Schizosaccharomyces pombe: one gene and its partners. The gene in region 2 interacts genetically with the main gene of each other region. Each region holds a gene or a part of one and is shown on either strand. Other genes may lie near its edges. The genes, in order: php3, zrg17 and ubp2.

Region 1 (3,143 bases), on a different chromosome or scaffold from region 2:
GTTAAGTTCTATCCTTTTGCGGACCCTTCACCATCACTGGCTACTTGCCATATATATTATAAACTGCCATTATGTTCTACGTAAATTAGCCTGCGTCGAGGAAACGTAATGAATGGGCGGCTCAGCGTTGTATGGAAATAAGACTAGTTAAGTGTCCTTTAGTAATGCACTCGATTACTCTATGTGACGTCGAGAGGACGGAAGAGTAGGAATGATGGTAAAGGCAAAAAACATATTCGTTCTTTTGACAACACACAGCTCGCATCGCCTTCAATTACCCTTGCCAATGTTGCAAGTGATGATGGGTGAGATGGGATAGAAAGAGGAGCAAACTTTTAATCTGATATATCATTGATGTATAGGAAATGAGAAATAAAAATACAACTAGGTTTATAGTGCATTCCACTGTATAATATAAAGATTAGGATAGATACACATGACTTTTGAAGTGCAGAAGTATAGTCAAGTAGGGAATATAGTTGAGTAGATGCGAGTTGTAGAACAAAACAATTCAGTATACGCAATTTTCCCCTACGGGAACATATTTAGGTATGCGTGCGAATGGAGAGTGAAGATGAATGAAATGTAGAAAAAAAAAACACTGGATTGTCAGTTTTGCCATAAGATACATTTACTTTCTTGTTATTCCATTTTTCTACGAATCTTCTTTGCTAGGTTATTTTTATTAACTTTTTCGCAAACACGATTTTAATAACATTGAATTCCTCTTCAGTTATCAGATGTGAACGGTAAATACCAATTGTGAACTATTTCAAACGAACTTAATATTTGCTCTGTAAGTTGTAAAATAAATGTCTCATAATTATTTCGCTGTCAGTTTCCACAATCGCTTCTACTCTTTTTTTATATTTATATTTATATTTTTTTTTTGAATTAAATTAATTCATATTATTATTTATTTTTCTTGGTTTTCTAATGATATGTTTATGATATTTATAAAAGGATTTATTTATTTGCTTTTTGTATGAAGGATCGTCGCTTGAATGACAAAACACTTCTTTTGCTAGTCTCTCCTTTCCTCTTGTTTAACGTATATCACGATTATTTTGTCAGCGTAAAAGTGACATAGGGATTAGATGGCATCCCACTTTCTTTTTACTGGGAAACCTTGGCTTCAAGAGAAGACGCCTCGCCTTCACCTTCATCCCACTTGGGACCTTAAAGCTTCCAAAAGTCTTGCTCGTTTCCCTTATACGCCACTTGAAAGTCTTTTGGCCCCCATTTCGGCCTTTCACCCCACTTACCTAAATAGCGCAGCCCCGTCGAAGGCTCAGAGCCATCCAGTATTGCTCGCCGCTGGAGTAGGTGGAATAGTAGTTAGATGCCCCAGTCGGAAACCGATATATCGTACCACTCGAATTCAGTATCTCTTGTTAATCTCCCACTTTACAACTGCACTATTTAAATAATATTATAGGCCGATACAGTCAGTCTGCGAATTGCTTGCAACCTGTAGAAACAAATTGCTGTTTCTTTTGCAATAACATAGTGTTTCTTTATCGCAATAACCAACTACTGATTTCTTTCCCTATTGGAAGTAGATAGACGTTTACTTTCTTTTGTGAAGAAGCAGAAAGTTAACGTTAAGCCATTACCCTCGTTCATTGCTCAAAAGGAGGTCATTTCTTTTTATTTGATTTGTTCGTCTTTTAGGATCTTCATCTCCTGCTGAATTATTGGATTTCTTTTTAGTTCCCTCCACAAAGGCTCGAGAATAGGTTATCAGCTGTCGATTTTTGTCAAGGATCGTGCTTGCTAGTAGTCAAACCAATTTTAGCGGGGTTTGTGTACTTATTTTCGTTATTTGAGGTTTCTCTGCTCGCCAAAATTAAATTATACAAGTAAAAGATACATTTAATTATCATGAGCGCAGACGGGTTGGATTACACCAATCTCCTACCAATTGCAAATGTCGCGCGTATCATGAAATCGGCACTTCCCGAAAACGCCAAGATTTCCAAGGTATGCATGATTTGTTGAATTGAGAAAAATCGCATTGTCAGTCTCTTCGATTGATTGATTGCTAGTGACGGAGTAGGTCGCTGTGAGTGCGTTCTTCTCTTTTGTTTTGTAATTTTCATGTTGCAGTGCTAATGTCTGACTTTTTAGGAAGCTAAAGACTGCGTCCAAGATTGCGTTAGTGAGTTTATTTCCTTTGTTACTGGTGAAGGTATGGAATCAATAGCAAAAGCCTCATGTATAGTTATTTACTGACCATATAATAGCATCTGAACAATGCACTCAAGAAAAGAGAAAGACAATTACTGGTGAAGATGTTTTATTGGCTTTAAATACCCTTGGGTTCGAAAATTATGCCGAAGTTTTAAAGATTTCTCTCACCAAATACAGAGAGGTAAGGAAAAATTCTTTATTTGAATGGTGATACGTGTACTTCTACTTCCTTGTTGGCTTAGAGATTTAAATTGTCTCAAGCAATGAAGGCGCAACAATTCATTCACTCATACCAAAATTTCATTCTCATAGTCACTTTTCTAACATCTACTCTAGCAACAAGCAAGATCTGCTAGCATGAAAGAAACTAAACAAAGCCGGTCCGAAGAGCCTCAGTAATTTCCTTATATATTTTGCATTAGCGGGGTTTTCCCTGAAATATTTCCTGACTTTTGCAGCGATCGTCGATCGCCTTATTTGTTATTCCTCTCTCTTTTTGTACTCTCCTGTTTTATCTCTGTTTATCTTACAAATGATGCTAATTTACGAACTATGTTAATTTCTACTTTAACCAAGTTTCAAAGATAAGCACTATATTGCCAAAATGGCCTGTTCATATTTAAAACTTCCTTAATGTCGTCAGTATAAATTTAGCAATTACTATTGCCTGTTTACTTAAAGTGTATTATTGTGATTATCCCTCATTCGCTTTTGCTTACTTTTTCATTTTGTTAATCCTGCTACTGTTAACCTATATATTATTTTGAAAAAAATAGCATTTCATTTTTATTTTTACTCATTTCGTCTATTTCACCGAAATCAGCATAAGACACATATAGTCATTCGGTTCATGGAAGGATTAGCCGATGTTTCCGTAGTCATATACGTATCAATCAATAAATTTTCTTATTGTCAGGAAAGTGTTTAATCCTGCTGTAGCTAGTATGTAA
Region 2 (3,760 bases):
TGTTTTTTGCGCTTTCTTTCCAAGCTTGGTAAGAGCTACGTTTAAAGTAGTAAATTGCATTACTTGTCCTTTGGAATCTGTATGTTAATTGAGGGTCATATATATGCTTACGTTTTTCTTTTTTTTTTTTACATATGAAAATACCTTCTATATACGCATTCTATTATTAGTTAGACTTGATCCTTTTAGTATGCAACGACCACACATGCCTTATTTATAATAATAAAATTATTCATTTCATATTAAAATCTTGAGTTTGTATTCTCCTTATAATTTGTAATAAGCGGTATAAATTAAAGGAAAGAATGAAAAAGGTGTTGGTAATTCTATAGTAAATATGGATGGCATTTATTAGATTATGAATCCAAACTGTTCGAGACAGCGAAAGTTCCGCAAAGGTGGATAATGTCATATGTTGATAAAATATGCATGCATTAAATGATAATAAAAATATAACGAGTGAGTTACAAACACGGTTGGTTGTAAGATAGGAAAAAACGATTAGGCTCTCTGGATATCTACTGATATTTCCCATTTGGGTTGAACACCAGCACCAAATATGCTTCCTACTGTTTTTTGTATAATCCTTATAATATCTTCACGAACTGCTGCCTGCTCTCGTTCACCTCCTGAAACGGTTAAGCCAATATTAGCAATACAAGTATTATAATGAGGTTGCCAAATGGCAGCATAATTAAGTTGGTCAATTCGTGTATCCTCTTTTATAAGGGAGACGCATTCAAAGACCTTTTCTTTATTAGAGTATGTCAACAAGAGCATTAAGGCAAGCGATTTGGCAATGGAGAACCCATTCACCAGGGCAGTAACAGCAATAGTTAAGGAAAGCAAATGGCTGAGAAATGAACCAACTTGATAACCAAGACTTAACAGCAACACGAGGATGAGTGAAGGTACTAATGTGAGTCCATGGAAAAAGCGAGAATTGAGTTCTCGTATGTGAGCACTAGGGTGATCCAACAATAATGCAAATCCCGATATTATAGCCGAAGCAAACAATGAAATGGTTAAATGAATGTGTACAGTCTCTTCTTCATGATCGCCAGCATGATGGAGATTACCCCAATCTTCTATAGCATGTTCGGCAGGCTCTTTTAGGAGGTTCATGCCGAGGAAGATTAAGAGGATTGAGAAGGAAAAATCAACAAGTAATTCCATTTGTTGCATTCCAAATGGGTAACGTAAACACGTGTGTCGCCAGACGAGGAACGAATCCAATGTTTCACGCCAAACGTTGATAATGATTAAAACACCTTCTACGATTAAAGAGCAAGATAAAGTGAGTAGGATAGTAGCATCCCCCGAGAGTAATACCCCTACGGCGACCAAAAAGAATAGGATTGAGCTTGTCAATTTTAGTTTTTGAGGAAAAGTAAGGATTGCGAATGTTTCTTTAAAAGTAGGAATGGGATAACTGGCAGGTATCTCTAACGGCTGTCGATTCTTGGGTGGTAAGAAATATTGATGCGAAAGCGAATGTTTGTGATGATGGCCTTTTCTGTGGGTAGGGCGAGTATCCACGCTTAACAAGTTGGGATTATTCGCACTCGGTTTTGGTAACTGATCACTAATAGTTACAGAGACATTATTATTTATAGGGTTTTGAATCTGAATAGCAGTCGGGATGTTATGATTTTGAGTCATTTTTCATTCATTTAGATATACTTTCAACAATTCTATAATGGCTTTTTTAAAAACTCACTCACCCATGCGTTTGGTGGAGTGGATGGGTAAGACCAGTTGGTACTAGGCCCAAATTGCAACAGTCTAAGATAAAGATATTGACTGTATCAGTAAATGATTATAAAAAGCCATAGTGTTGTACCATCTTTGAGACATCTACTTTTTAGTGACTAGGAATAAAAAACGCTTAGTAGAAAACGGTTAAAGATGAACAAACTTACCTTTCAGAGCCATCGTGGAACGCCATATATATAGGGTTCAAACATGCGGCTCAAAGTCATCCATACAAGGATATTATGAGTAATTTTTTTAATTCGTTTAATTAAAAATAAAATCATCATTAAGTTATAAAAAAAAGGCCACTCCAAGGGCCTGAATTCTCCTTCTACGACTTTTCCACATGTACTCGATAAGACAATAAATACACTTGGTAAAATAATAAAAATAATTATGTGTAGGTAAATAACATTACGCAGAGGTTCCTAGCTGAGTTCCATCAACTATTTTACCTACTTCTTCCATTTCTCTTCCAAATACCAACTATTGTATTCACAAGTGAGTTCTTATTACCTGAAGGAAGCATCTATACATATTAAAAAAAAGGTTTTCGGTTACAATGTCTGCGTCTGTTAGAGGGAATTCTAAAAATCCTCAATCCACATCTGCGATCACGACTTTGGTGCGTTTAAGATTAGTCTTTCTTTTTTTTTAATGATCTAACCTTGTTTACTTTTAGACTGATAAGTTATTGGAGGATATTGTAAGAAGAAGAATTGTGCTTAGTTAATCATTCTAACAGATTTTTATAGTCTGGCGACTTTGAGACCCTACAAAAGCAATTCTCTGAGAAATGTACGATTCTCTAATTTATAATGAAAGATTTTGCTTTACTAATCATAACTTTTTATGTTAACAGTGGAAACGATGTCAACTCGTTTAGATCAACTTGAAGAATCCATGCGTGAGGCCATGAACAAAAAGTCTTCTGTCTCACCGGTCACATCGACCGAGTGAACAAGATTCACCGCATAAGATTTTCAAAGCTTTCTATTTGAAGTGAGCATACAGCTTGTTTGACGTGGTGGATTGGGGATTGTGCTAGATTTGCTCTATTTTATTAAGAATAACCTCTGTTTGTCTTGCTCTGTCTATTTATTTTCAATTGTATTTCTAAGTCTCGATTGTTTGTCTTTTTCAATTGTTTACATGTTCGTACGAGAAAATTCAAATCATTTATTTTTTGTACATTTATTTTTACCTGTTAGTTCTATTGTACATTTTATATTGTTTCTTGTTTTGATTATCTAGCAAGGCCAAAGCAAGCATATACAACCCACCACAGACAATCAAACTACTTAAAACTAAAGCTACATTACATTTTCTATATCCATCGCATTCAATTTCTTTACTCGTATAAACAAAGAATCTCATTAATAAATTACGAACAATTCGCAGTACTTTCCATCATAAAGAACCAACCTTTAAAGGATGACAACTTTCCCCTCAAAAAGTTGTCGTCCCTTTTTTTCAAATAAGAACCATACAATAAAAACCTTTTTTCATAACGGATTCACGAGATAATGAAGGTTACGTCCAAAAATTTTGATATTGCAAGTATTCCCTTTACTTGTTGGACATACCCAAGGCATGACGAACATTGTTCATCAAGCCATGACCGCTGCTGGTGCTGCTTCTACGTTCCTTGCGGGAACTTTTGCTTTCAGATTTGCCCAAACCGGTGGTACCCTTGTCGCTATCCGAAGAAGCAGAAGAAACATCATCACGTACAGCAGTAGATTTGGCAGCCTTGGGCTTTTTAGTGGTAGTAGTAGCAGCAGCATTTGTGGAAGCTGAAGTAGGCAAGGTGCTGGGAGTAGATTCAACAGCCTTTGTCGTACTAGGAGTTTTAGTGGCACCGCCAACATAAGCAGGAGTGGTGGCAGAGCGGGCTGCTTTGCTTGAAACAGTCTCAGTGGTGGCAGGATAGTGATAGGCGGCGGACTTGCTCTTAGTACTAACATCAGTAGGTTCATTAGTGGTAACGGCGTGTGGATGAACG
Region 3 (3,760 bases), on a different chromosome or scaffold from region 2:
CTCTATATTCTTTTCCTCGAACTTTGGTATTTTAATGAATTGTGGAATTGCAAATAAGAAATGGTACTAACGAGTATAGTTACCGTATAACGTTCGCTGGCAAGATTTAAAGGATTTGTTTAGACAAGCTGGTTCTGTTATCCGAGCTGATATCCAAATGAACCAAGAAGGCCGATCCCGTGGCATTGGGATTGTTGTCATGAGTTCGATGAAAGAAGCCATGCATGCCATTCAAATGTTGCATAACACTGATTTCATGGGCCGCACTTTAGAAGTTCGCCTAGATCGGTTTGCACATCATAAAAGTAAGCCGTATTCCACTCATGGAAATGGCTATACGTTTCCAGCGGAAATGCAAATGACTACATCATCCACCTATCTACCCATGTTAGGTGCTAATACTCAAGTCGAGGATTTAGTTTATCATGCGTATCCCCATGGACCCTGCTCGGATTGCATTTACGTTGGAAATGTATGTATATAAGGACGCTTTTGTGGGATTAGTTTTCCGCATCATTTTAAGTTTTTTTTGGAGATTACTGACTGAATATAGTTACCTTGGGCCACCTCAGATCGCAATTTATTGGACCTATTCACAGATATTGGCTCAGTCATTCGTGCCCGAATCGCCTATGAGCCCACTGGCCGATCTAAAGGTTTCGGTGTCGTTCAATTTGAGAATGAAAATGATGCAGCATCCTCAATTGAAAAATTAAATGGTTATCGTTATGGCGGGAGACCCTTGCAATTATCATACGCTCACTATGCGACTCCACTACCTGCTGTCCCTACTGTGCTCTCGGGTCTTCCTTCAGTCGCTTATACACCACCTGTTATGCATATCCCTACAACGAATTCACCACTAACGCCCCAATCTTTTACAAATTCTTTCTTAGGCTATCTACCGATTTCAATGCCCGTTGCAAACATGCCCGCTATTGCTCCTATTTCTGTAGCTTTACCCGAAAATAATATTGAACATTCTTTGGAGCCTTCTTAAAAATTCGCCAATACATCTGAACTTCTTTTCTCTTTACAATTAAGCACATTTCCGTAGTGTGAATGGCTAGCTCAGTGACGACATGCGCAATGTTCTAAGGCAGTTATCCTAATATTGTTTGCTTTTCTCTATTTTTTCTTCAAATTTTTGCTTTAATTCCTAATCCCCAAATATTCTTATTTTCCATGTTTATAGATTTATCTCTTTTGTTTGATTTCAATTTTTTGCTAAGATCTTATTCTTTTCCGTGACACACCAAAGTATGCTGATGGCATATATATTCGTCTCTCGTTCTTCTAATTGAAGTCTTTTTAATTTTAGCTTTACTGTTTTTTTACAGGATGCCTAGTTTCCTTCTTTTACAATTGCTAACCATTTCATGGTTTTAATGATATTTTAGATTTTTAGACTTCCATTCTGTTAACTTCCAGTTAACCAAGTTTAATCTTTATTGATTAACTACATTATTTTTAAAGTAAGGTGTATTTAGGTTAAAAATCTTATTTAAGCATAATGGTAAATTTCGTATAGCGAAATGTAGGTGTTGATTGTTTCTTACCTTCTTTAGTAGCCTTATCAATGAAATACAAACATTTACTTCTATCTTATTCCCCACATTCATAAAATTGATGGTCGCATACCTGGCTGGCATATGTAAGACGACAAGCATCATACGCATGAAGTCTACCTACCGAGTCCTTTACTCATGAAAAATCCTTCAATCTGTACGTTCTTTCCGTTTGGACGTTTTTTCAAGTATTTTTCATAATAAAAAATTTAAATTTCTTTATTAAAATTATTTACATCAAACTATAAAGAGGAATGGCAACTGTAAAGAACTTGCGAATTGGCAAAAGTCCTAATCGGTTGATTCAAGATTTAGACGTCTTTGATAGTCCATCAGCTGGATGGAATGATCCTTGGAGTCCTCATAGCTCAAGATATCACTGGCAGCTTCATTCAAATTTAGGCGAGTCCGCTGTATTTGACGAGAATGACTTTTGGTGTGTTTGTCAAAAAACTCGCAAACACTTACATGTGAAAGTCCGAAGAGACAGGGGGAAGCCATTAATTGAAGAGCCTGAAGAAAATTATGGAATAAAAGATAGGATTCCTGTTTACTACGAAGAAGAGGAATTACCTGAACCTCATGTGACTAGCCCTACGAAAAGTGAATTCGCTACTACCTCTACTTGTATGAAATGGAGTAGCAAAACAACAAAAAGTGAAATTGAAGTTGAATGGAGAGATAGCTATCTTGATGCTAATTGTATCAAAGAGATAATTGATTCCCGACGTCCATCATTTGCTTCCCTTTTAACTAAAAAATCGTCATCTCATCAAGGGTCATCCCATTCATCCCAACCTTCTCTTTTTACTACATTTACTTCTTTGGAGTTGTTTTTACGAAACGTGTTGGTCCATAACGATCAACGTGCCATTAGCGCTGCCCCGGAAGGAACTTTTGAGAGACATGTCGGAAAGGGCCGCCAAATTCAATCTTTGATGAAATCTCTTCTGTTTGAATATCACCACGAAAATGTAAATTATGTCCCTACCATTGCGGACGCTCCCCTTACTGACGAACAAAAACTTAATCTATACCTTGCTAGGAATGAACTTATTGTTTTGGCTAATCACTTTCGTGACACTAAAGAAGATCCGGCTATTGTTGCTAACCCTTTTCCCGTTAGGTTGGCTCGACCTGCTTTAATTAATGCCTTTGGCGTTCCTAACTATGATAGCGTGGTTCCCATGTATACCACAGTTTTTCGCGACAATTCGGCCTCCTTACCTGATGATCCTGCTTTTATAGCCTTGGGTATCACGAATGATTATCCAGACAGCTTTGTCCGTTATTTCTATGAGGAACAAAAAAAGAACGATGAAGCTAATGTTCGTGTTTATGCGGATGCGCTTGCTCATATATACAATTTACGTAAAAGCAGCTTTTTGAGAGATCTAATTGCGGCAGATAGGAAAAATGGAATCGTGTCGAGCGATGTAATACAAGCCGCTTATTCGAGTTTAGGACTTGAAGCTGAGGTAGGCCCGGATTACAGGTATAGTCAAGAAAAAATCTTTGAGGCGTTTCATTCTGCCCTCCTAAGAAAACCTGAATTTGCCAGAGCTATTAGGAACGATTTGGAGACTATTGGCTATGCAAGAAAGAGTTCTGAAATTTTAAATTATGTTTTGTCTACAGAACAGGCTTTTTATACGGTTAATGAAGCCTACCAATGGTTGGGCATTAAGTCTAACACCGAGGACGCCATGGTAGCTTCTGTGGCCTTAGTGAAATTTGAAGATGATAGCGACAAAGCCATCGAGGCCGTCAAATGGATAGCTGAAGAGAGAAATAGCTCCATTTTGTACGATTTCTTGGCTTCACAAGGTAGACCTTCCAACAAGAAGCCTAAAGAAGTGCCTATGGATGAAGATCTAGCTTACAACACATTAGGTGTTCAAGATCGTGCACTATCAGATGACGTTTTAATCAATGTATACGGCTTTGCTGTTGAAGACCACCCAGAGCAATCAGACACTTTGAGAGCAGCTTTGAAATGTATAGGAGAAGTTAGGAATTCGCGTTTAATCACTCATTATTTAGAACATGGAAATCTAGATATTCCACCAGAAGTTTCAAGTTTGGATACTCCGATCGGTTTGGAAAATACTGGTAATCTTTGTTATTTGAATTCCCTGATCCAATACTACTTTATTATAAAACCTCTTCGTAATGCAATTTTGGATATTGAT

The links.
Region 1: mutations in zrg17 (region 2) and php3 together harm fitness more than expected from each alone (negative genetic interaction), as found in Schizosaccharomyces pombe (one large-scale study listed by BioGRID).
Region 3: mutations in zrg17 (region 2) and ubp2 together harm fitness less than expected from each alone (positive genetic interaction), as found in Schizosaccharomyces pombe (one large-scale study listed by BioGRID).

Annotation. Positions count from the first base shown.
Region 1 is NC_003424.3:2,143,797-2,146,939, forward strand, and holds php3 (CCAAT-binding factor complex subunit Php3), read left to right. Parts: upstream 1-1,884; coding exon 1,885-1,983; intron 1,984-2,130; coding exon 2,131-2,191; intron 2,192-2,246; coding exon 2,247-2,374; intron 2,375-2,529; coding exon 2,530-2,592; downstream 2,593-3,143. Other genes in the region: SPOM_SPAC23C11.07 (uncharacterized protein), read left to right, coding at 1,098-1,430. UniProt on the Schizosaccharomyces pombe protein: Belongs to a complex that binds to the sequence CCAAT located upstream of genes involved in mitochondrial electron transport.
Region 2 is NC_003423.3:1,944,661-1,948,420, forward strand, and holds zrg17 (Golgi zinc importer, CDF family, Zrg17), read right to left. Parts: upstream 1,747-3,760; 5' UTR 1,663-1,746; coding exon 502-1,662; 3' UTR 277-501; downstream 1-276. Other genes in the region: SPOM_SPBC16E9.15 (uncharacterized protein), read left to right, coding at 2,318-2,380, 2,438-2,461, 2,511-2,553, 2,618-2,715. UniProt on the Schizosaccharomyces pombe protein: Probable transporter involved in the regulation of zinc homeostasis.
Region 3 is NC_003424.3:3,485,503-3,489,262, forward strand, and holds the start of ubp2 (ubiquitin hydrolase Ubp2), read left to right. Parts: upstream 1-1,691; 5' UTR 1,692-1,822; coding exon 1,823-3,760. Other genes in the region: hrb1 (RNA-binding and mRNA export factor), read left to right, coding at 80-472, 554-1,000.